Linked DNA regions of Struthio camelus. The protein of the gene in region 3 interacts with the protein of the main gene of each other region in a biochemical or structural test. Links are inferred from orthologs where the notes say so. Each region holds a gene or a part of one and is shown on either strand. Other genes may lie near its edges.

Region 1 (7,440 bases), on a different chromosome or scaffold from region 3:
GCATTTAAAAATTAAAAGATAAAAATGACTTTTTGCTTTATAGCAATTTACTGGCTCAGTAAAAAGAAATGGAGAAAAAGTTGAAAAAAAAAAAAAAAAAGAAAGACACTTTAGGACAGGTTACTACAAGGAGCAAAATACCATCTGGCATATTGTGCTAGAGGTAGCATCAATAGTTCTTAATTAAAGTTAAAACAATAAAATAAAAAATAAAGTAGTCTTCCTGGACTTCCTCATCTACTTCACTAAGCACAGCAGAATAAAAATCTGTTCTTGCAGTCTCCCTCAGGGAATCCAACAAAAACTAAACCATCAATAAACATCCTCTCACACTGGATGTGACGCCACACAGTTGCTAAGGAAAACGTCCAAAGAGCATGGATGGAGGAGAAAGGAAGGCTTTTAGCAGTAGATCATAATCACTAGATTGATTATAACGTAAAATTAAAAATAAGGGCGCAGATCCATGGTAGCTGAAACTAACTTAGGCACAAAGACGCAGTCCCGTCCGCATCACAGCTAGGTTTTCCCACCCTTTCCCTTGCACTGGTGCCTGAGAGGATCCAGTTCAAGAAACTGATCCCACATTCCCCCCACCCCCCGCATCCAGTTTACTGTGCAGTCACATGGGCACTAGTGCTGGCATAACAGAGATGTTAAGAACAGAAAAGGGAAATGGTACAACTTATATCAATTTAAGGTGCTCTGGATTAATCCCAAGCATCCAATCGCAACAAGCCCATGCTTGAATGCCTAGGAACTTTGTGGGCAATACAAATTTATTTCTCATACAAATCTCATCCTACCACCAGCAGGAAGCAGTCAAACTCTGAAACTTGAAAGCAGTCAATAAACTCTGATCGCATGATTAGAGGCAGTCAGCCCTCCTATTCCACACGTGATCTATAACAACACTTTGACTGACATTAATTTGGAACTAAACTTTTATTGCAGCTATGGTTTCACAATGATTAAGCTGGTTCTGCATACTACCCAATAAAGCAGTTGTCTTGTCCATCATCTAATCTAGATGACACACAGACAAACAGCTGAAATAATGTTATGCTCACTCAATGAGTGGCAAGATCATACTAGTGCTGTGCTGACTGTGAGAGGACAGACCAAGGCCTCATTTGGTCTAGAACTCATCATTGCAAGGCTGATCTATCAAAATTACTTGGATAACTTTGAAACAGCTAAGAAACCTTACACTGAACCAGCGCTTTGTATCTATGTAACGTATTTGTATAAAACTAATCATTTTCTACTAAGCATTAAGGTTTCCATCAGGTTCTCCAGTCAGTACAGGAGATCCTATAAGATTAAAGGCTGAATTGACATAGATGCACTTCTATAAAAACAAAAAGGCATGTGTGAATTCAGTCGCTTACACAAATTAACTTACATATCATGTTACATATATCATCTGGCTTAAGAAGTTCCTACCTTGAATGTTTTTAAACTACCAGCTGTTAACTAATGCAGTATTACCCTATGGTTCTATAGAAGCAAGAAATAACTTGAAAAACATGCCTCAAAAAGTTATCACAAAGGAATTAAGGAAAATTTTAATATGCATTAAGCTTTTAAGAAACCAGTCTTCAACAATATCATTATTAGTTCAGTAAAGAATGTTAAGAGACATGTGAGGAGAAAGGAAAAAAAAGTCAAACAAAGAAAGTCTATAGAAGAAGTTTATATGTTTTAAAGGCGCATATGCAACAAAATATAAATCAAATATAAAACATTGTACATTATAAACAGATGCTATGCATGATCAAGCAATAAATGACAAACTGTGGTGAATGTTTAAAATAAATAAATAAATAAGAACCAGTATATGTTCCTTTCAGACTATGTGGTTGGTTAGCGCATTGCTTGTTTTGCAGTCTAGCAAACCGATTTGCAATTCCAGACTGAACCAGGATGGAAGACAGTTTCCCAGAATGAAAATACAGAATTTTATCTCTGCTTAGAATGAAAACTAAAAGAATTTTCTTATTCCTCACATATTTGTATTCTCCCACTCACAGTTTATTGACAAATTGTCTCAAATTTCAGCGACTGGTTGTGATTTTTCACAGAGCACAAGGGTTGCAAGACTGTTGTCTAATAGAAAAAACATACAAAACTCACAGCAAAATAGAGTCCTCATGCCTAAGATACACTGATGTTCCACAGCTGCACACTTAACTCTCTGCAAGCATTTGCAGAAGTAAGTGGCCAAACCTGTCATTTGCCCTCTCTTCCCATAACCACAACGGAGTATCATCAGGACTAAAGAAAACTCCTAATTAGCAATGTTTCTCTTCCTGTTCCTGGGGATTTACAGTCATGAAGCATCACGATTTCAGCAGCTTCTTTCTTTTGATTTTAAGGGTGAAATAATTTTGTCAGGTCCCAAGCATCAGCGAACAAACATGGGAAAACACCAAGAAAACAAAAGAAAAGCCTTTAAAAAAAAATCAAAAAAATGCCAGTATTTAATAGAGAGAGTCACGCTCTACAAGAGCCAGCCTCGGTAATGGCGAGAGCAGCACGTTTACAGGTAACTCCTGGACCCCGCGTTAGTTATTTGTCCCTGCTACCCTACCCCTCACCGCGGCGCACAGGGACCCTCCGCTGCTCTGGCCTCCAAGCACCGCCAAGCAGTCCAGAAAGCCAGAAGAAAACCAAAGCAAGCCGGCCCCGCAGCAGGCTCGGGCACGCCGTCTCCCTCACCGCCGGGCGCTCCGCCGAGGCCCCGGCGGCCCGGCCCGGCCCGGCCCCGCCGCGGCACGTGCCCGGCCGGCGCCCGGCGGGGGCGCGCGCACGCAGCCGGCCGGCGGCCCCGCGGCCGTTGGCGTCTCCCCGCTCTGATGGCGCTTCCGCCGCCCGGGCCGCCCCCCACCGCCGCCGCCCCGGGGGCATCCCAGCCTCCCGGCCCTGCCCACCACTCACTTCCTTCTTCACCTCCGCCATCTCGTCCTCCGTCAGCAGCCGCCCCACGGACCCCGGCCCCAGACCCTCCATAGCGGAAACCCACCGCCACCGCCGCCGCCGGGGAAAACCGGTCGCGACAGCGCTTCCGGCCCCCGCCCCCGCCGGCCCCGCCCCGCCCCGCCCCCCGGCCAATCGCCCCCGCGCAGGGGGCGGGGCTGCCCACCGTGGCCAGGCCCCGCCCACGCGCGTGCGCAGGGGCGCCCAGCCTCGCCCCGCCCCTGCGGGGACTTTGCGGCCGTTGAGGCGGCCCTGGGCTCCGCGCAACGGCTGCCTGCCGTTAGGGGCGGGGGGCGGGGCGGCTGCGGGGGGCTGTGCTTCGCTGCCGCCCGCTCCGCGCAGGGCCTTGACCTACGGGGGCGGCGGTGGGCGGCCGCGGGGTGTGGTGCAAGGCGGCGGCGGCGGCGGCCGCCGCGAGTGGCTGTCTTTAAGGATTCCCGCGGTTCTGGAAACAAGCCAAGGTGGAGGCCGCGCCCCGCCGGCGAGCGGCGGCCCCCGAGGGCTCGAGTCGGGTCGCCGGCCGCAGGCACGCTGATGCTGTGATTTGACTAGTTGTCCGTCGGCGTGTGAGGCGACTCAGAAGCTGGGCAGTATCTGAGAAATAGGCATCTCGTTCTTGACAGGGCAACAATTAATTGATAGCACCCACCATACCCCTCCGAAGGCTTGGTATCCTCATGCTCTTATTTTAGCATTTAGGTATTTCCAGTGCGCTACACTCGTGACAAGAGGGAACGATTTTTCAGTCATTACGTAGTGAGCTCCCAGGAAAATCAGAGCGTGCGTCTGGAAAGGAGGGCTGGGGGAGACAGCAAGTTGCTTGGGAGGCTGCATGTCATCCAAGTCTTGGATTACATGAGAAAATAAGAGAGGTCGAGGTGGAAGAGTGGTCATAGTTACGGAATAAAACTGGGCAACAATGGCAAGAGACAGTGAGAGAGAGCATGGAAAATTAAATGAGAGGCGATTCGATTAGAAAATACCTTTGAAGAGGGAAGAAAATATTTTCTGAAAAGAAAATAATTCGTAGAAGAAGCATAAAAGGAAGCACGGGTACTGACAAGAGCATAGAAGTAGGAAGAAATGGGAAAGCAAAGCAAGAAATGTTGAGAGAGACATAAGAAATAATTTTCATTTGTTGGGAAAAAAAAATCTCTAATGATTAATTAGCTTCTAACAAAATAACTGAAGGACGCTTCTGCTTTGGGTGCTAGACGTTACGTACATACCAGCAGGTACAGTAGAGCTTTAAATGCAAAGATTGGGAGCGGCTGCTGCTCGTTTAGCCAGAAAGAAAGAAAGTCGTCGCTAGAGGGTGCCAGGACGCCACGGGGAGGCCGCGGCGGCGCCGCTCCGCGCCCGCGGGGCTGCTCCGCCCTCGCCGCGGCGGCTCCCAGCGACGGGGCGGCGGCGGCGCCGCAGCCGAGCGCTTAAAGCCCGCCCAGGGCGAAGCCTGAGGAGTAAACGATCTCTCAGCTTGTCGAAAGCAAAACAAAGGCTATCGCTGAGGTCTTAAAACTGGTAGTTAAACATTAACACGTATAAGGAGGAGAAACAATCAGTAGTAGCTCTTGCTGTTATTAAGGGAAAACTGGTTTTGCAAACGTCTTGCAAAAGTCCTTTTCCAGGGTATGCCTTTTTAGTGGGATCATACTTCAGATATTAACTGTCACGGTACCTATTTCACAGTGCTTGCTTTTCCAACTTTTCAGCAGACACTAAAGTGCCCTGCCCAGGACACTTCAGTCACCATTGTTAACCTGGAGACAATGCTGATTTCCGTTGACTTGGCTGTTAAAACCACAGCCAGGCTGCAAAGTGGCTATCAGAAACCATCACCAAGCTCCGCTCCCTGCTGCTGCTGCAAAGGACATGTCTACCCGTGGAAGGGCCTCGCCACCGGCCGCCCCCTCGCTGCCCGCTGGCAGCCCTGCCTGGTCGCAGCCTGGCACCAACCCCTGCTACAGCCCCAGTCTTGCAGCGTTGTTACGTGCACCCAGGAACCCTTTTTTTGCTCTAGCACATTTGAGGATCCCAAAGCTGTCTTGTGTATTTGAGGATTAAACATCTCAAATATGATGTAAACAAATATTTACTTTGTATTTCCTTTCCAGTGAGCTGAAGGGCATGGCGGTACTTTTCAAGTCCCAGTGCCTAAATTGATACTCCTTAATCTGTGTTAGGCACCCAACTACGTGGCCGGGTTTCAGCGCCTCTGAAGTGTCCAGCGAGCTCATCGTGGCCAGCTGACGCCTTTGGGACAGAGCCAGGCATGTCCCCAGCTCCTGACTCCCATTCATGTTCATTAACCCCAGTGACTTCCAGCTCCTCCTCGTCAAGGTGAATGCTGGTGCAGATTTTGCTGGCTCCGTATAATACTTTTGATAAAAATAGCTACCGCACATTCTGGATTTAGAATATTTAAAAATAACCTTGCCCAGTGACCGAGGTGCAGTTCAAAGCCATGTGATGTCTGGAGAGCTAGACTCCTGGATTCCTGAGCCGTGTATGAGACAAACTGCAAGGAATGAACTTCAGGAATCAGAGAAAAGGGCATCTGGTAGCGAATACAAGAATAGACTGCATTTTAGCAGGTTTACTGCCAGTAACTCCTGACAGGAATTAATGGTCCAGGCAGCTGGAAGACGACTACTGTCAGTGTGAAATTCATTTCAGGAGGTCAGGATCAGTTCAGTTTCAAGAAGGGAGTCTTAGGAGTGCATTACAGAGAATTTCTTTCAAGGGAGCTGGGAAGATTTTGGACACTGCCTTGGTTATATGAGCACGTATACATGTAATCACCACCCCGACTATGCTTGTGAAATTTCAGATACTGCTTACAAACGAGCGCTGCTCAAGGACACGTCTTCCACCCTATCGATCCCAGAAAACGTCATAACGCTGTCGCAGCTGGTGAGAAGCGGTCAGTGGACCTTTCTGTATTGTGACCAGCTCCAGGCTTTCTCCCCACCTTGGTGCTCAGGACCAGCCGTGTTCCCCCCTCCCCCCCCCCAATCCTGTCCTGCAGGGGTGTGGTGCCAGCTCTGGCCCTTCGCCCCCTTCTCATGCGCAGGTCAGGGTGGCCCTGGGACAAGCCCTTGCTCAAGCCACAGCCCCTGCCTGGCACCTGCGGGAGGTTATGACTGATGCTTTTTGGCAGACTGCATTTACAGTGGAGCGTGAACTTGTATACCCAGCACAGAAAGTTTGTGCTGGCTACAGTAATAGTCTACAGCTGAATTTCTCAACGGGCACTTCTTTTTAAATGATTTTCATGCTTTTGCATGTTTCTATATTCTTTGAGCGGAGCTTCTTAATGTGGCAAATGGGAATATTTTTCTGTAGCTTTTGTGTTATTTTTAATTCCTGTCACTTAGAAACAAATTTAAGTAAATTGCTATCAACTCTCCCCTGTAGATGTGGTTATACAACGATGCTTATATATGGTGCTGGTTATAATATTAAGTAATTGCACCAAGCTAAATGTATCCACATTAGAGGTTGTACAGTCTGGACGTGATACAATTCTTTTGCTACAGTACAGTAGTTGGATTTTCTTAAATACAAAGTTGAAGTGACAATACTGAGGCCTTGACTAATTAAAACTTCGATTGCCACAAGGTGGCACTGAACACCTATGAGCACTTACATGGTCCACGCAGCCCAGAGTAACTGCATTGTCTCCCGCTGTGATTAATTCTCAAATCATAGTCTACCCATGTTAGAGCACAGTGGTACAGGCAGAGACCAGCCATATACGCTACTTATAGCACACAAGGACGATTTAAATATAAAACATGCAGCCATCTGCCCTGTTATCCACTGTGTGATGTCCATAATGTAGTCAACTCTCTAGACATCTCAGATGAAGAGGAGATGACACAGGAGCTTTGTGAAGAAATTCAGCCCAGTGGTCGTGCCACTAAACCTTTGCAGTTTCACCTTGTGTAACCTGCACTAAATACAGTGGACTACGGAGAAAATATTATACTACAATAACATGTAGTTACCTTGGACAGTAACAAAATAAAATCACAGCCATCGTATCTAGAACACTATGGCAATGCCTCTTCTATAGACATTATCTTAAATGTAAGCCCAAAATCATGATTTGTTTTTGAAGAGCCAAGATTTCTTTTAAAAGGTTTAAAGGTTTTAGCACAAGTGTCTATTGTCGGCTTTATTTCTAGGCATGTTATAAGCTTCACAATAAAAAAAAAAAACAGCATGAAACAATACAAAATCAAATACACGTGCTTTTGGTTTCAAAATAAGAGGCAAAACTACACAGTCCACAGTACAACTGACACTTTATTCCTTTGTGATGGGGATATATAGTATTGAAACTGCAAGAGTCACAAAAAATCAAAGTGCAAACCTCTATTAGAATAGATTATGGAATGTATTGATGTTTTTGGCACAAAAAGTGGGCAACTATATACTGTAACAAGATTTTAAGTT
Region 2 (8,062 bases), on a different chromosome or scaffold from region 3:
CAAACTGTGTCAAGTGCAAGATCTCTATACGAAACCCATAAGCCCTGGCCAGTTGTGCGGCAGGAACCCATTGGCTTGAAGGCTATGCGCATGCCTCCAGGGACACCTCCACAGCAACACCTCCACAGCATCATATGCATCTTCTACCTCTGATGCTCATTTCATGTTTCAGTTATGCTACAGTTTACACAGCTTACACAAGTTTATATAGCTTGGTATATATATTATATATATCTTGGTATAGATATCAGCTATGGGAGGACATCATGGAGCTAGCTGTCAGCAGCAAGGCTCAAAATCCGGACTTCCAGGCCTAAAACAAAAGCACCTCTCATCTTCAATACAAAAAGCCCTGTATCGTTAGCACAGTGGCAGCAGAAGATTGACCAGCCTCCTAGTAATCTTGTCCTTAGAGTGCTCTCTAGAGGAGTGCAAATTTCTGTGTTGAATGCTAGTGCAGGTTATAAAGATAAATGTGAATACGCTTGAAATCCTGCTCAGCTCTAGACCTCCATTACTCCCCAGGACAGTGAGTTCTGCTAATCCAGACTGAATTTAACCTAAAGCTCTTTTAACTAGGAAGACAGTAAATACAGAGGATACATAAATACATTTACAAAAAGAGCCCAATGTGATTGCAAAGACGATTACTGTTCTTTTTGCTTCAAATTTCCCCATTAAATTAATTAAAAAGACATAAAGCAGCTAAGTGTGGCAGAAAACGTGCACCAATAGCCCAACAACCCCAGAACCTGGTAGCTTGTATCCAAGAGCGGTGAACAGCAAACACCCAGGGAAAGACAAAAAATCAGGACGTGTTCGGGGTATTGGCGTTCAATGATCTCCATTTTGGGGAGACTCTTCACCAGCGATGGTATCTTTATGCTGAAACACGTGAACGAGTATCGCTCTAGTACAAGCAATGGGGACACTATTCTCTGCGAGAAGAGAGCGGCTTCTGTTCACAAATGACCTGGTATTTTTTCTAGCAGCCTCAAAGCACCACACCTCTCCTGCAGCTCTCCTGCTTGCTGGACCATGCAGTTCCACATCACGAATCTCTTAGTTACTGAGCTGGGTGGAAAGGTTTCATTCAACCCATTCCATCCACCACAACCCACCTCCTCCCCACCACCGCTGAGCCCACTCAGCTCTTCACATGGCCATGTCCTACAAAAATGATCCCAGCTACAGGCAAGGGGCAGCCCTTCTTTTTTTTCAGTTTTGGTTTACTTGTTTTTCTTAAATTCAGACCGTTTTGCTGCTCTGATTTAGAGCGCGATGACATGAGAGGCTGAGTCAGCAAAGCAAGGAAGATGCAACCTCGGGTGAGGAGACAGGACAAGCCCAGGAGGGAGGTGGAACGTGGGAATGAGCAGATGAAGGCAGGAATTGGCTCTGCCTCTGTGGGCCTGTGCCCTGAATTGCATGGTTAAGCATCTGTTTAAATCGATTATTTCAAACGTCATCATCTCATGGCTACTGACATACTGCAGGATCAAGCCCCAGATAACCGAATGGAGACTGAGAAAAAGCTTCACAAAATCACTGCTGAGCAAACTTTACGAGCTTGGGACTATGATTTGTGCCGTATGTTCGGGTGGTCATACGGGTGGCAGGAGACGAACAACTCTTGGGTAGCGCTGCAGCAACTCCAGTAATAATATTCCTCTTTCCAGTTGGAAAGAAATAATAAAGATCTCTAGTTTAGTGCAGGTTCAAGCCAGTAAAAGCAAACGGTACCCTGTAGATTCTCCCATAGTTACGCACCCTTTCTGGCGAAGCGTCTGAGAAACGTGCATCGTCAGAGAGTGTTTTGCAAGTTTGATTTGCTCACTGCATTTCCTGTCCTCTTCTCAGGAGGCCAGGGAGCTCCCGAGCTGCATCCGTATAACAGCGGGGTGGACAGACATCTGACAGGACCAGCCTGGGGCGCGTCGGACCTGCCTCCTAGGAGAACGAATGCGGTGACCTCTCAGGTTCTTTCCCAGCCTATTTCTTATGACTGCTAGAAGAGATCGAAACGTAAACGTCGCCCTAACATGCAGCACACACTTAGTTGAGCAGAAGTGGAAACCTTCAGGGAGAAAAAGAAAAAAAAAGCCCAATTCTAGTGTTATTTTAAGACTGGAAATGGCCTAGCCTGCTATATTTCCTTCTTTTTTTTTTTTTCAAGTGCTTGAACTCAATACCTCATTAACTGAGTTTGAATGAATTTAAAGTAAAGAGGAATTTCTGACCATCCTTCACAGCTGTTATTAAATGTGTCCCCTGGTTATTTTTTCCTTGGTATCTTCTATAAATTAACAAAGAACTTGTAAGTAATCATCCTTAAAAACCAAACAGCAGTGGCAAATATTTTGAGAATGAAACCATTCAAAAAGGCCCATTGCCTGGGCAAAATGCTCAATCAGTTTAATTTTTTTTTTTTTTTTTTTTTACTGAAAATGTGGGTGGTTTTCAAATACAGGAAAGAAAACACGATGGCTTGTGGTGATATTTTCCACCAGAAAGATGCAGCTTTAAGGGCTTTTGGTTTCCAAATACCTACACCCACAGGAGTGGCCTCGTCTGTTGTAGAAGGCAATGCCTGATTAGTCGTACAAGTCAAATTAAATGACAATAATAATACACAGCAGTTGATGCATGTTTCAGTGGAAGCTCTGTGTCAGCTGGGTAATTAATATGGCAGCTGCCTCCCAGACTACGGCGCTGTCATTTTTAAAAACGCAAAAAGCTGCTGCGAAAAGAGAAGGGAAAAATCTGTTCTTCATTTCCCTGGTGGATAGGATGAGAAGAAGGAGGCTTAAATAACAGCAAGGAAGGTTTCGATTACACATAAAGGAAACGCTTTCCAGCAGCTCTGGAACGAGCTGCCTGGGGCAGGCGTGGAGTCTCCATTGCTTGCTTGGAGGGACAAGTTGAGCAAACGCCCCCTTAGAAAGGGTTTGTGTTGATTCTTTCTTGGGGCAGGGAGATGGATGAGGTGACCTACCGAGGCACCTTTCCAGCTTTGCGATCTTGTCATTACTCAGAAAAATTGCTTTGCCAGGAGAGGTCGCAAGCTGAAGCCTTCTTCTGCCCTGAGTTTAGAGCTAGGTGGCCTAAAGCACTGTTCTGTGATAGCCAGAACTTAACCCTGAGCCTAACCATTTGCAGGCCTGCAAAATCTCCTATAAACAGAGTGATCCTCATGTAACTAGCTGCTCTGTCCCCAACTAGGGATCTGGTGCATTTATGGGTGCAACACCAAAGGGGTCCAGGAACAGGCAGAAGACCACGGGGCTGCATCACAGTTGGGAATGTGCCGCTGCAATGCCCCAGGCTGGCACGCATCCGGTCTAAGTGCAGGCTGACACTACAGTCTTCTTCCCACCACGTTACTGTATCACACAACTAAAAAGAAAGTTCAGAGATTTTTGTTTCAAAACACCCAGCTTGGGTCTGCAGAGGTCTGCTACCTCTCCCACTCCTAGCCCACTGATGTCTCCATCACCTCAAGTTCCCTTTAGGGTCACTTTTTGAGCAAGTGGAAGTGCCTCCTGCCCTTCCTTTTCTGCAGATGCCTGTAGGAGCGGGAAGCTGATCTGCCGGCTCTGCCTTCCCAGCTGCTTCTGAAGGCAAGGGCGTATCTGCAATACCAGGACACTCCTGAAAATTGTAGTAACAGCACCAGCAACTGATGGAGCTGCAAACTTAAGAAGGGGCAGTTTTGTCAGCAATTTTCCTTAAAGATTCAGGCAAATTCCAGGGTTACATGGGATTTTAATTATCTGCTGCTCACCTTCAGTTGATGTTGAAGAACCTTTTATGCCTGCAGTATCAACACCCCCCCCCCAATATAATGCACTCTAATGCAGGCAGGAAGGATAGATACATAATTTAATGGCATATCAGCAATTAAAATGAAAGATCACCTTCCTCATGAAATGCCTTTTTTTTCCTGCTGATAACAAGGATATATATTATACGTTGCTCAGAGTGTTCCAGCAAATAGAAGGGAACTGCTCTTTGAAAGCAATACATTTTCCCCAAATTTCCAAAAGCCCAGCAGTCCTTCCTTTTCACTTTCCTTCCCTTCCTCTTCCCTTCCCTTTTGATAATTGGGTAGTTGATGTTTTAGGAATCAGCAGCAAGGGCAAAACAATCACATCTTGCCTTTCTACAACAGCATTCAAATAAACATTCCAGCTTACTCAAAGTGAGCACTTAGAGCTCCGAAAATTCCTAAATGATTAATTTTGAAGATTTCAAAAAAAAAAAGTATCTTTTTTTTTACAGGTCTGCATGGCGGCATGCAGACCTGCATCTTTAATGGTAAGAATTATCCCCAGCAAAGCAACAAAGTGGCACAATCTACATCCCAGATCCTTTCTCCATTGACTTTTTAGGGAACAAGCATCTGAGATACTTTGACAGTTGCCTAAGAGTGTTAGGATCCACAGAAAGTACCTGAATGTGGCCCCACGTCTTCTATAGGTATGTCTTTCCTGCTGTCAGAAGCATGACGGACATCTGCAGGTCTCCGGGATATGTATCCCATTTGACAGCTATCGACAGCATAGCCCATTATTGTTACAGGGTTGGTCATGTGGCCATGCTTCTGCAGCACATCCTTCCTGATGGCCAGGAGGAGTCCTGTTGGACTGCTCCAAAACCCTTCAGCTCCTACATTTCTGGAGTTTCTTTTCCTTCTAATCACTCATCTTCCAGGTTCCCAGGCCAGTTTTCCCCTCTAGACTTGCCTGTCCTCCCGGCATTACACCTAATCTTGCAGCATGGGAGGAGGCCATGGGAATGGTGGAGCAGAGAGCGTGTCCTTGGGGAGGTCCTGGGCAAAACCCACTTTTGACACCCTCAAGCCCTGAAAGGGGTGTACCAAGCAGCTCAGCCTGGCCTTGTTTCAGATTAAAAACCTAGTTCAAGGCAGGGCCCACCTGGAAGAGAGATGTTTTGAAGACTCGATGGCCAAGCACATGACATGATGGGACAGATTAATGAGGAAAGACACAGCCCACTTGACTTCCCCTCCACACCCCTCAGCAGACCTCGCTAGCTAGCCACAAGGACAAGGCTCTGCAGCCCCAGCAAACTCAGGTTGTCCTTATTATTATTATTATTATTATTATTATTATTATTATTATTATTAGTGATCATTTCTTTTGTACCACGGCTTTCTCCTCCGCAAAATGGGGTTGTGCACACCCAGCCCCGACGCTGGGCTCCTTGCGAGGCTGCACCACGGTACTTACCCGGCCGCCAGCACTTCCCACCCAGGGATCGGGCCCTTGGGATGCCCCGGGTAGGGGGCGGGAGCGGAGGGGGCCCAGCGGGGCGCCGGTCCAGGTGGCGCGGAGGAAGAGGAGGAGGAGGAGAAGGAGGAGAAGGAGGAGGAAGAGGCGGCGAGGGCAGCCCCGGGGGTGGCAGGCGGCGGGGCGGGGGCGGCTGCGACCGGCAGCGCTGCAAAGGAGCCGAGCCGGACTCAGCCGAGCCGAGCCGAGCTGACGGGGGCTGAGCTGGGTTGCGCCCAGGCGAGCTGCGCTGAGCTGAGCTGAACCGAGCCGAGCCGAGGTGAGCCGCGCTGAACCGGGCTGAGCAGAGCCGCGCTGGGCTGCACCGAGCCGCGCTGGGCTGCACCGAGCCGAGCGGGCAGCAGGTGCCGCCGGCGGTGCGGAGCGGAGCGGTGCGGAGCGGTGCGGTGGGTGCGCGACCGGGCCGGACCGGACCAGCTGTCCCACTGCGGAGGTGTCGGGGGTGAGACCCTTGGGTGCACGAAGGCGATGTGCTGTGCGTACACCCTGGGCAGGGAAGAGGGAGGCAGCCTCGGGGTGCCTAACGTCCTGGGTGCCCAGAAACCACCTCTCCACCACCCAGCAGCTTGGCTGAAGGCACAAGGAGAGAGAGAGAAAAAATTTGGGGAACTCTTTGGGATTGTCGATGTCTCATTTTACCCGGGACGCTGCTATTTTACCCTGCTTCAGCTATCGTTTCTCATTCTGTTACTGAACTGAAGAGCCATCATCAACTTGAAATACAGCCAGAAGGTTTTTTTGGTTGTTTTTTTTTTTTTTCTTAAATAACAGTTTATATTACTTTCAGGTTCATACACCTGATGTCTTTTGCAAGTGTTTGTGGTTTCATAATCACATTTTCCTGCCTCTAAAAAGTGTTGTTTTCTCCCTTGTGTCTTCATGCAATACAAAGAGGGGAAAATGACTGAGAAAAACAGTGAAAACCTACTACAGCCAGAATGTTATTGAACACACACAGTAAATAAATTGGAAAAAAAAAGAGGGAAATACTTTCCCCTGCTAGTTTCTTTGATGTATTTTAGGTGTTTCTTGGTTACAGCAGTATGCAGTAAGACAGCCAGGTTGAAGTTTAGTTTTCGGGTGGATGTTGTAGCTCATTAGCTGGGTAAATCATTTTCGGGTCCAATTTGTAATATTTTACAAACTAGCACTGTGATAAGTTTGAAAGCTCATTTGAGTGGTAAAGAGAAATGAATTGTCTCCATCCCTCCTCCGCTGTGTAGTGTTGTGAGCGGCATTTCCTTTTGAAGGAGGAGACTTGAAAACCCAGCCTGGCCGTTCAGCCTTGAGACTTCATTTGTGTTGCGTGCATGTTAAATGCTAATGAAGTTAAACTCTCGGGTGTAATCAGTTCCTTTTTAATGAACTCTTTAAATAGTGATTACAATGCAACCAACTTCTCAGCTGTGTGTTTCTCCAGTCACACAGACTAGTGCAGCTCTTTGCAGGGGCAGAAAGCTCCTCATGTGCTTTTTAATTTCCACCAGTGAAATGGCAGTGGCAAAGAAAATGACTTGAGCAGCTGAAAGCCACTCAATTGAGTCATGCTAATAGCAGATTATTTAGTAAGGTCACTAGGGCAGGAAGAGATAAAGTTTCACTGAACTTGCTATTAAAAAAAAAAAAAGGCGAAGGGGGAGAGAAAAACAGAGCTGTTTGCAATGAGCAGCAGTGCCATATTCTGGTCTTCACTTTTTTGAACAGCCGGTTCCATGGGGTCCTGGACCTATGCTTTGTTTTTTTATTTATTTGCTTGGTTTTTTTGCTCTCTGAAGAAAGGACTCCACATCCCCACTGATGTGCCATTTTCTGGTTTCTGGGGAATGTGCTTTAGGAGCCCAGCCGAAGGATGAGCAAAGAGCACCTGCTCTGAGGAGGTTCCTGCCTCAACTTGTTGTGGTGCAGCAAGGCTCTGTTCAGCTGGTGGTAGCAGATGGCCTCCTGAGATATAGCCTCTTTTTTACAGGCCACAGGCCTGGTGAGCGGCCTTTTGTTGAACACCTGACACCGGTGTTGAACCTGGATCCCAGTGAGGGTAGTTGCCATGGTCTCTTTTGATGGTGCCTAGGCTGGACATGAAACTTCAACATCCAGCAGCCTTCACTCTCCCGGAGCTCCCTGAGTGATGCTAAACCTCTCCATTTCCTCCAGAGTTCCCCCCATGACATTTTGGCTAGCCTTTCTGAGCCCCACTTCTAGATGTCCATTAGGATTTTGTAAAGTCATTTCAAGGATTCACATTCCTCCTGAACCTCCATCTTCCATCTCAGCATCCCCTTTCTACCCAGGCCGTTTTTGTAATCAGGGCAAAAATTTTCTTTCTTTCTTCCCCCTCCCCCCCAAGAAATACACACCAATTTTTCAAAATTACACTCCAAGCCTGCAGTGCCAGATGTCTTTCTGGAGAACTTGCCGATCTTTCTGCTTTAGGACACTGGGGGTTTTGGTGAGGAGGTAGCCATCCTGTTTTCAGGCTAGACGAGGCTTCTCCTATCTGACACCCTTTGCAGCCCATCCTGTTCACAGAGGGACTTGGAGAACTTCTCTGTCCCTCTGAAGCCTGTGAGATACAGTAGAGGAAAGGAACCACACTGCCACCAACACACAGCAGGTTCATAGCAAAGGGAGCTATGAACAAGGACCTATTACACCGCCAGGGTGGAGCTAACTTTTTTTTTTTCTACTTCAAGTGAGCTTCCTTTCAAAGAAAGTCACTCAGTCGACTCTCAGAGCTTCTCACAAATGCACCG
Region 3 (7,488 bases):
TGGCCTACCATTCCGATCAACCACCTTTGCTGAAAGATGTTCTACAGGCAGTCATGGTGTACATGGAACATCTTCTACTGGATAAACACATTTAATGTAATGCCTATGGCACAGTCAGAAGGAGAATCTTTCGCTATAGATATAACATAACAACGTTATGGTCTGGAAGTAGCTAGGAGCAAAATACTTAAGAGGCCAGCAACATTGTAAAGGAACTTCTAAGATGATAAGTCTTCTCTGCAGTTTCATCACTCTAATAGAATGCATAATGTAATCTTGAAATTGTGCGGGCTTTTTATGCAAGGATTTCAAAGTAAAAGCCTGGAGGATGGAAAGGTACAGCAGTGTACAGCAGCATAAAAAGGCTTACAGTACACTTGTTATTCAAGTTTTACCATCAAGGCTCAGATCATGCAGAATTAGAACAATTAGAGCAATTGGAAGAAACTAAAAATGCTCTCCTTTCCTGAAGTCTCTTTGAAAGACAGTGACAGCAAATATACCACATGTGTCCCACCAGTTGAATTTCCATGTGAGGGGTAGTTCCCTTGCAGGCAGAGGTTCAATTTATTGTTTCCTGCACCATGCATATAGAAAGGAGACTGAGAAACTGTACGAAAAAAGTATATTGGTACCCCTTAACCTGGGCAGCCAGCTGAATTAAAAGTTCTGGTGGATTTTAGTTACACAAAGAAATAGACGACGGAGCCAGGTATCTCTTTGAGGCAATTCTGCTTACTTACAAAAAAAGAAAAATTTCCTGCTTCCCAGAATTGAATGGGAGTAAAATAACAAAAGACAGTTTAATCATACTTCTAGTATTTTTTTTTCAGCCAGACAGTTCAGCAAAGCTCTTTCTGTTCTTTTTCTCAATATCATGTTTCTAGTGCTCGTTTTAGATGTATTCCCAGTTTTCAACTCTTAATATATCTATTTCTGGATTGTTTCTTGTTGCTGCTCTCTGAAAGATATGTAGCTCTACCAGACAAGGTCCTAGCCCCCACATTTGCATCAGGAAACCGACTGATTCAAATTCTGCAGCAATTTGCCATATTCTTGTATTTTAGGTGGATCATCTGGATTTTCTTGAATTTTCTGGTTGCCTGACAGAACATAATTGTTTTCTTCACTTTTGATGTATCTACTGATGTGTGAAACACATCACCTCAGTCTACCAGCTTCAAGGAACTATAACCTAAATCATAACATTTTTATGTCTTGAGAGAGTTTTTAAAAACTGAAACCTAGCATTAAGATTATAAATTCTTATAAAAAAGATAGAAACTGAGTTATGTGTAACTTTTTGACTGATGACTGGGTCACAACTGGATAATCTCAGTTTACCAGGGAAGTCTTTAGGAGTAGGACAGTTTTAGGTCTTTTGAGTTTCAGTGAAAGGTTGTTCAAGCCTCATTGGATAATTGCTTTGTCTCTAAGGCTTCACTCTGGGCCCAGGGAAATCTGTGATCTTTAGAACAGGTATTGTACCTTTTGAAAGCTGTTTATAATCTACAGCATTAAGCAGAACAAAAGCAGAAAGAGCAACAGCTACTACCTAATTCCTTGCTTGACTCTGGAGGGCAGTTTTATAGTCTACTGGCTGATATTTTCCCATTTGCTGAAGAACTCAAGGACAGAAGGGAAAACCTAAAACAGGGACTTGGTGAGTTTTGACTTGAATTTCTAGCACATTCTTCCTTTCAGATTAGGAACTGTAGCTTGGTCTGTGCGTGGAAGATCTGTGGTTTTTAAATGGAAGTGAAGCTACAAAGCCTCCTGTCAGCAGAGCTAATTGCTCCGGTTGTGCTGCGAATGGTTCCTCAGTTGCATGCACAAATCAGCTTCCTCTATGAAAGCAGTAGAAAGCTGGGATAAGAAATAACTTATATCACTTTTGATGAAATAATTGTAGGCCACAATTCTTATATCAGTATTTCACTGTTTTTCTGCAAGGTATGGTTTTTCCCCAGTTGCGCTGGTCCTGTGTCAAAAACTGCAGATCCTCATCCATGTAGTTGTCACATGGATAAATTTCTGGCTGCTCAAAGCAGGAAGCTTTCCTTGCCCTTATCACATGCAGTGCACAGGTTTGTTCACAGGTGAATTCTGATAGAGTTGCACAAGAATATAAGTAGCACATAACAGTGTAGTCCTGATTAGGGGGGGAAAAAAAAACCCAGAAAGGGGATAACAGGTTCTCCTATTGCCCAGCAGAGACTAGGAGAGAGAAATTCCTGCCTTCCTTAGTTTTTGAGCTCTTGATTTAGAGAAACAGAATGCCCTTCAGAATCCTTTTCAGTGTCATCCTTAGAGCATCCTTAGGTCCCTTATCAATCCAAGAACAGGTGCAAACACAGGAAATCAGAGGGACCATAAGGGAAAATTAGAGCTGGGATTCCTCACACATTTTGCTCCCCTAGTAGATATATTCTGCCTTCTCCCAGCCTTCATGGGATTCAAGCTTTCAGTTCAGTAAGAACACTTTTAAGTGTTTCTGTAATAACACTTTGAGCCATGTATTTTCTCCCTGACATTTCTTCTTTTCACTATCATCTCACTTCCTCCATTATTTTCTTTGATGCTGCTGTATGTTTTGATAGTGTTTCCACTGTTCTTTTATACTTACTTTCCATTCGTTGTGTTTTCCTTTGTTCTCTAGCAACTATTTTTAACTTTCTTTTTCTCTCACTCCATTACCATCATCGTGCCTCTTCCCTTCTCACATTCCTCAGTTCTTTGAATCATTTCTCAAGTATGCTTATCATTCCTAGTCTTTATGCATTTTCTTCTCTAGTAGTTTTCCATATGAGATAAGTACACATACATGTGTGTGTATACGTGTGTATATACATGTGCATACATGGCTGCTTTCTTCCAACCACAGAGAGTCAGCCTCACATGCACACATCCCTGTGGATGCACATGTGACTCCTCAAGGGTTCTTCTGACTTCTCACACATTCAGGACCTATTATTGACTCTGGCGAGGCTTCACTTGAAGCCTCACCTCAGTCCACTCAGTGTGAAGGGCAAAACCTAGGGAGTAACTGGGAGAAGAGCAGTATCTGTGCTTTGTTTTCCTCTTGAGGGTGAACAGGCAATAGCAGAAGAAGAACCAGCAAGTGTGGCAGGTGCATCATGAGAGATTTGGGCCGAGGATCCCTGTGCAAGATGGCAGCAGCATTAAAGGTTGCTAGTGGTGGTGGTAAATACTGATCCAGCACGACTAGGAAACAGTAAGGGAAAGGACTGGTTTACTTTGCTCCCACTGGCTTGCCCGTGGTGGGAAGCTCTTATTTGTGACCTAGCAGGTAAATGTCCTCAGTGAGACCTACCAGTGTGTGGCCTGGAGGCCAGAGTCCAGCATTAAAGCTATACCAGATCTTAGAGTCCAAGATACTGCAGCTTATTTATGCCAATGAGGAGTCCACCCCCTTTGTAAAGTACATTGTTTAAAGTATCATGCAACTGTAAAATAATATTTATATGAAGTAAATCTTGTTGACTTCCCTTTCAACAACAACAGCAGCTGTTAATCAAATACATGTTTCCTCAAAAAGTCTTTGAAACCTTGGGAAACCCCAAAACCCCTTCTGCCTGAAACTGCTGTTCTTGAAACTGTCTCCTGTTCAGAGCACGGTCCTTTCTTTCTTTCTTCTTGCCCTCTCTCCAGCCAGCATGTGCAATGAGAAGCAAGGGCTGCTGCTTTGCGAGCAGCATAGCGGCCCTAAAGCTGGCATTCAACATGTCCCTTTGTGCCTGAGGGAAACATACTCTAAAAGCCTGAGGAACTAGAAGTAAGGGCAAGGACATAACCTCTTTTTTCTCTCTGAGCCAGTTTTTTGTGCTTGTGCTGCTGCTGACTTTGCCCTCTGCTCTTTCTGGGGAAGGGGCAGAAGCGCCTATTTATTTTCTTGCGGTGGTACTTCAGGGCTCTGCTATCACCTGCAAGCAGAGTCATTTGCAAACAGGCTGTATCGCTGGGGAGCAGAAATGTGTTTTTTTTAAACCTTAAGCAGATTTATAGTCTGGTTTCCTGTCAGATCTTTGCATTTTCCTTCCCCGCCCCTCCCAGGCTCTGACACACTTTTTCTTACTTTCTGTGTCGCTCTTTGCTCATTCTGACACCGGGGCGCTTGCATCCTTTATTCCTGATTCTTCCTAAACTTTTGGCACTTCAGAGGCAAAGGGAGTGTCTTGCTTTTTGTATTTCCTTTACTTTTCAACAGCTTCAGAGCACAGATAACCTCTCCAGGACTGCTGGAGAGAGACAGTGACAATTGCATGGAGGCGACGTAGGGAGTTTCAGCCTGCAGCAGCTGCAGCAAGGCAGCCCCGGTCACTCATGAGCACCCAAGGTAAGGAAAGCAGCTATCAAATCAGCTCCACCTTACTGCTGGTTAGGATAGCACCTGATTCTAATCATACCGGTTCCCCTTTCACCTTTCACTTTTTTTGTGTTCATTTTCAAGAGCACGTTTCTTTGAGAATGGTTATGTTAGCTCCTTCCTTGCACTCAACAGGTCTAATTGTACCTTGCACGCACAAATATTTAGAGCGCGGGGTTCAGTGAAGCAAACAGGCTGTAGCTGAAGGTGCACATATGTTTGCAAATAAAGTGTGCACTGGGAAGGAGAATGGAAATGGAGGTCTGGAGAGGGGAGATGAAAGGACTAATTGTGAGCAGTGGCCTCTAGGGAATTTCTGTTTCTACCCATGGTATGTTGTGCTCTACCTTTACTTTAAATCTCTTCACTGGGCATTTATGCTTTCTATCAAATAACAAAATCTTTCTCCTTTGTTTTTTTTTTCTCTTTGAATTTGTTCTTCTCACTTCCTTTAGTCTTCTCTCAACCCTGATGTATCTCTTACTGACTTTTCCACCATCTTTTTATGTCTATTTTTCATCAAGCATAATTCTGTATAACAAATGTTCCTCTTGCCCCTTTCTTTGCCTTCCCTCCCCCTCCTCTTTTTTGCCTGTGCAATAGACTGTACATCCTGCCCCATGTTCTTAATCTTTCTCTCCTTCCACCCTGTCATTTCCTTCTTCTCTGTCTTGTGTTCCCCTTTCCCATTGCTCCTCTGGCTTCTCACACGCACTACTTCCTGCCCCATCTCCTTTCTCGTGCACACAGCGTACATTGCTGCCCCGCAAAGTTAATTTTGCACACACAGTGGTGTTGTCTCTCTGCTGAATTGTCCTTGCACACACATGCTGCTTTCCTGTCTACCCTTTCTCTCTTGTACGCATGCAGGATTTGCTAAACAAGTTCCCATCCCAAAATACCAGACTCTTATACTTGCACAGCTTCCTTCCAATTCTCACACTCATATCTGGTCATTCACAACAAATAACCCCTGTCGTTCTGACTCTGTTTCTTTCTGTCTCATGAACAGAATTTTCTAACACCTCTAACACACCATAGCTTCCTTTCTACTTATAAATACAGCCATCTCTGACATAGTTCTTTCTATCGCTCCTCTTTCTGTCATCTCGCTCCTCCTTAAGTCCTTACCCCAATCTTTCAGCAGGTTTCTCCATCTCTTTTTGTCTTGATGTTGACTTCATATTGGAAGGAGCCACTGGTCTTAGTCTCTGCTGTCTTAGCATCCCCCCTGAGTACCTGCAGGGGAACTGGAGGAAGTGTTGCAGTCTTTCAGCTTCTCTTTCCTTCGCAGAATATGCAAGCTGCAGCAGAGTAAGAGCATAAGAGTGGGAGTGAGTGTGGATAGAGAAATGGGAGAGCACAATCCAAAATGTTTTTTGAAAATTGTAAAAATGGTTCTAGAGGAGATACTTTCTTCTAAGTGATTATAAGCCATTTTACTAGCCTAAATAAAGCCGCAGTCTGCCTGCCCCAATGCCGAACTTCTGCTCTGACACTGAGGTAGTTTTTGTCCTGCTGATTTGAAACTCCCTTGGAGTTTCAAATCTCAGAGGTAGAGGTTCTCTACAGTAATACTATGGTGGGAGTAACTTTGCTCCTAGGATCTGGAAACAGCTCATTTCTTCTATACTAGATATATTAGTGAGTCTCAAAGATCAAACATGGCTAAAAATTGCATCCAAGAACAATAGCTGGTATTATTGCCTGTTTAAGTTTGTAAGCTTTGAACCAGATACAGCAAAGAAATAAGTTTCTTTGATGAAGCCTTTTTGCCTCACATTCTGAAGCAGGACTATTGGGACTGAAGATTTATTTCTAAGAATGTTCTGATGTGGGCTTTTGAGGACTGAATAAGGATCACTTATTAAACTCAGTCGAATTAATAAGAGAATTATTATGTAGGCGAATTCTGTTAACAATCTACCCCATCCATCTTCTTAAAAATTGTTCATCTCCTTATGGGTGAAAGAAGCCTAAATTTTATGTTTGCAATTATAATATATCCTTTCTGATTCAGAGCTATCAAACTGTGGCCTTTGAGCTATGAACATTCTCTTCTGAATGCAGAAGCAGCTACATCATAATATCTTTGTCTTCTGGATCTTGTGAAAAGTCCACAAACCTAGAATGACAAAATAAAAGAGATGTTCATTTTATTCATACAGATCTAATATGACTCTTTCCTACTCTGTTACAACTCATCCTGTGATATGAAAAGTTCTTGTGTTTCTTTTAGTCATTCTGCAAAACTTGTATGATGATCTTGTGCTTTGTTTTTACAGTATTCTGTGCCCCCAGAACTGTCCCTGTTCTGATGCCTTGGTATGTCCCAAAAACAAACTGGCTGAGACAACTTCCCTCTCTTTTTCTCTCTCACTCTTTTTTTTTTTTTTTTCTCCATCCTCGTAATTTGCCACAGGTTGAGTTAAAAATTGTTGAAGCTGGGTTGTGGCAGTTGCAAGGGGACAAGGAGCCAGAGATAAATTCTTTTCACTCTAGTACCTTGGGTCTAGAGAGAGATTTCAGCTAGAAAGAACATGAACACCTTCCATCCTACCAAGCAAATTCCTGTACTGGGAGGTGCTCCCCCAGAAAAGAGATTCAGAACCTCATGTTAACTCCCTGTTCATATGCAGAGAGTTCCTTCCAAATAGATTTAGCTCTGAATTAAGAGAAAAATAAACTTTCAACATTCATGAGAAGAGAATGGTCTGGCTGCATGTGCCTCTGTTAAAATTAGAAGCAATTTGAACCTTCTCTAGAAGGATGTAACCCAAATAACTGTGAATATGTGGAAGAAATCTGAATGATGTAATGCTGTAATACGGAGGATGTCTGTAATATACCAAATGACCTAGTTTGTACTGGTGCTTGGACAAATTTTTAATCAGTTATATGGCATGATTGCCTTTGCTAACAGACGATGAATAATTAGAGATCTCTGTTTCTCCCAATATTATGTCTATATTACTGAAAAAGAACAAACTACCCACTTTTTAGCAGATTGCTCAACTTTCTCATTGGTATAGAAATGGATGTGCCATGAAATCTGAATATTCCCCTTAAGTGTAGTCATTAAGGTTGTGTAACTGATGGTG

What was found.
Region 1: the proteins of CARD11 (region 3) and BCL10 form a complex in vitro, tested with the Homo sapiens proteins (2 studies listed by BioGRID, with this or other methods). The link is inferred for Struthio camelus from reciprocal best matches to the Homo sapiens genes CARD11 and BCL10.
Region 2: of the proteins of CARD11 (region 3) and PRKCQ, one has a biochemical effect on the other in vitro, tested with the Homo sapiens proteins (2 studies listed by BioGRID). The link is inferred for Struthio camelus from reciprocal best matches to the Homo sapiens genes CARD11 and PRKCQ.

What each region holds. Positions count from the first base shown.
Region 1 is NC_090949.1:21,330,674-21,338,113, reverse strand, and holds the start of BCL10 (B-cell lymphoma/leukemia 10), read right to left. Parts: upstream 3,091-7,440; 5' UTR 3,013-3,090; coding exon 2,941-3,012; intron 2,695-2,940; exon of another isoform or gene 2,594-2,694; intron 1-2,593. UniProt on the Homo sapiens protein: Plays a key role in both adaptive and innate immune signaling by bridging CARD domain-containing proteins to immune activation.
Region 2 is NC_090942.1:4,823,802-4,831,863, reverse strand, and holds the start of PRKCQ (protein kinase C theta type), read left to right. Parts: upstream 1-4,976; 5' UTR 4,977-5,097; intron 5,098-5,252; exon of another isoform or gene 5,253-5,357; intron 5,358-5,414; exon of another isoform or gene 5,415-5,571; intron 5,572-8,016; exon of another isoform or gene 8,017-8,062. UniProt on the Homo sapiens protein: Calcium-independent, phospholipid- and diacylglycerol (DAG)-dependent serine/threonine-protein kinase that mediates non-redundant functions in T-cell receptor (TCR) signaling, including T-cells activation, proliferation, differentiation and survival, by mediating activation of multiple transcription factors such as NF-kappa-B, JUN, NFATC1 and NFATC2.
Region 3 is NC_090956.1:5,763,890-5,771,377, forward strand, and holds the start of CARD11 (caspase recruitment domain-containing protein 11), read left to right. Parts: upstream 1-4,079; 5' UTR 4,080-4,344; coding exon 4,345-4,357; intron 4,358-7,488. UniProt on the Homo sapiens protein: Adapter protein that plays a key role in adaptive immune response by transducing the activation of NF-kappa-B downstream of T-cell receptor (TCR) and B-cell receptor (BCR) engagement.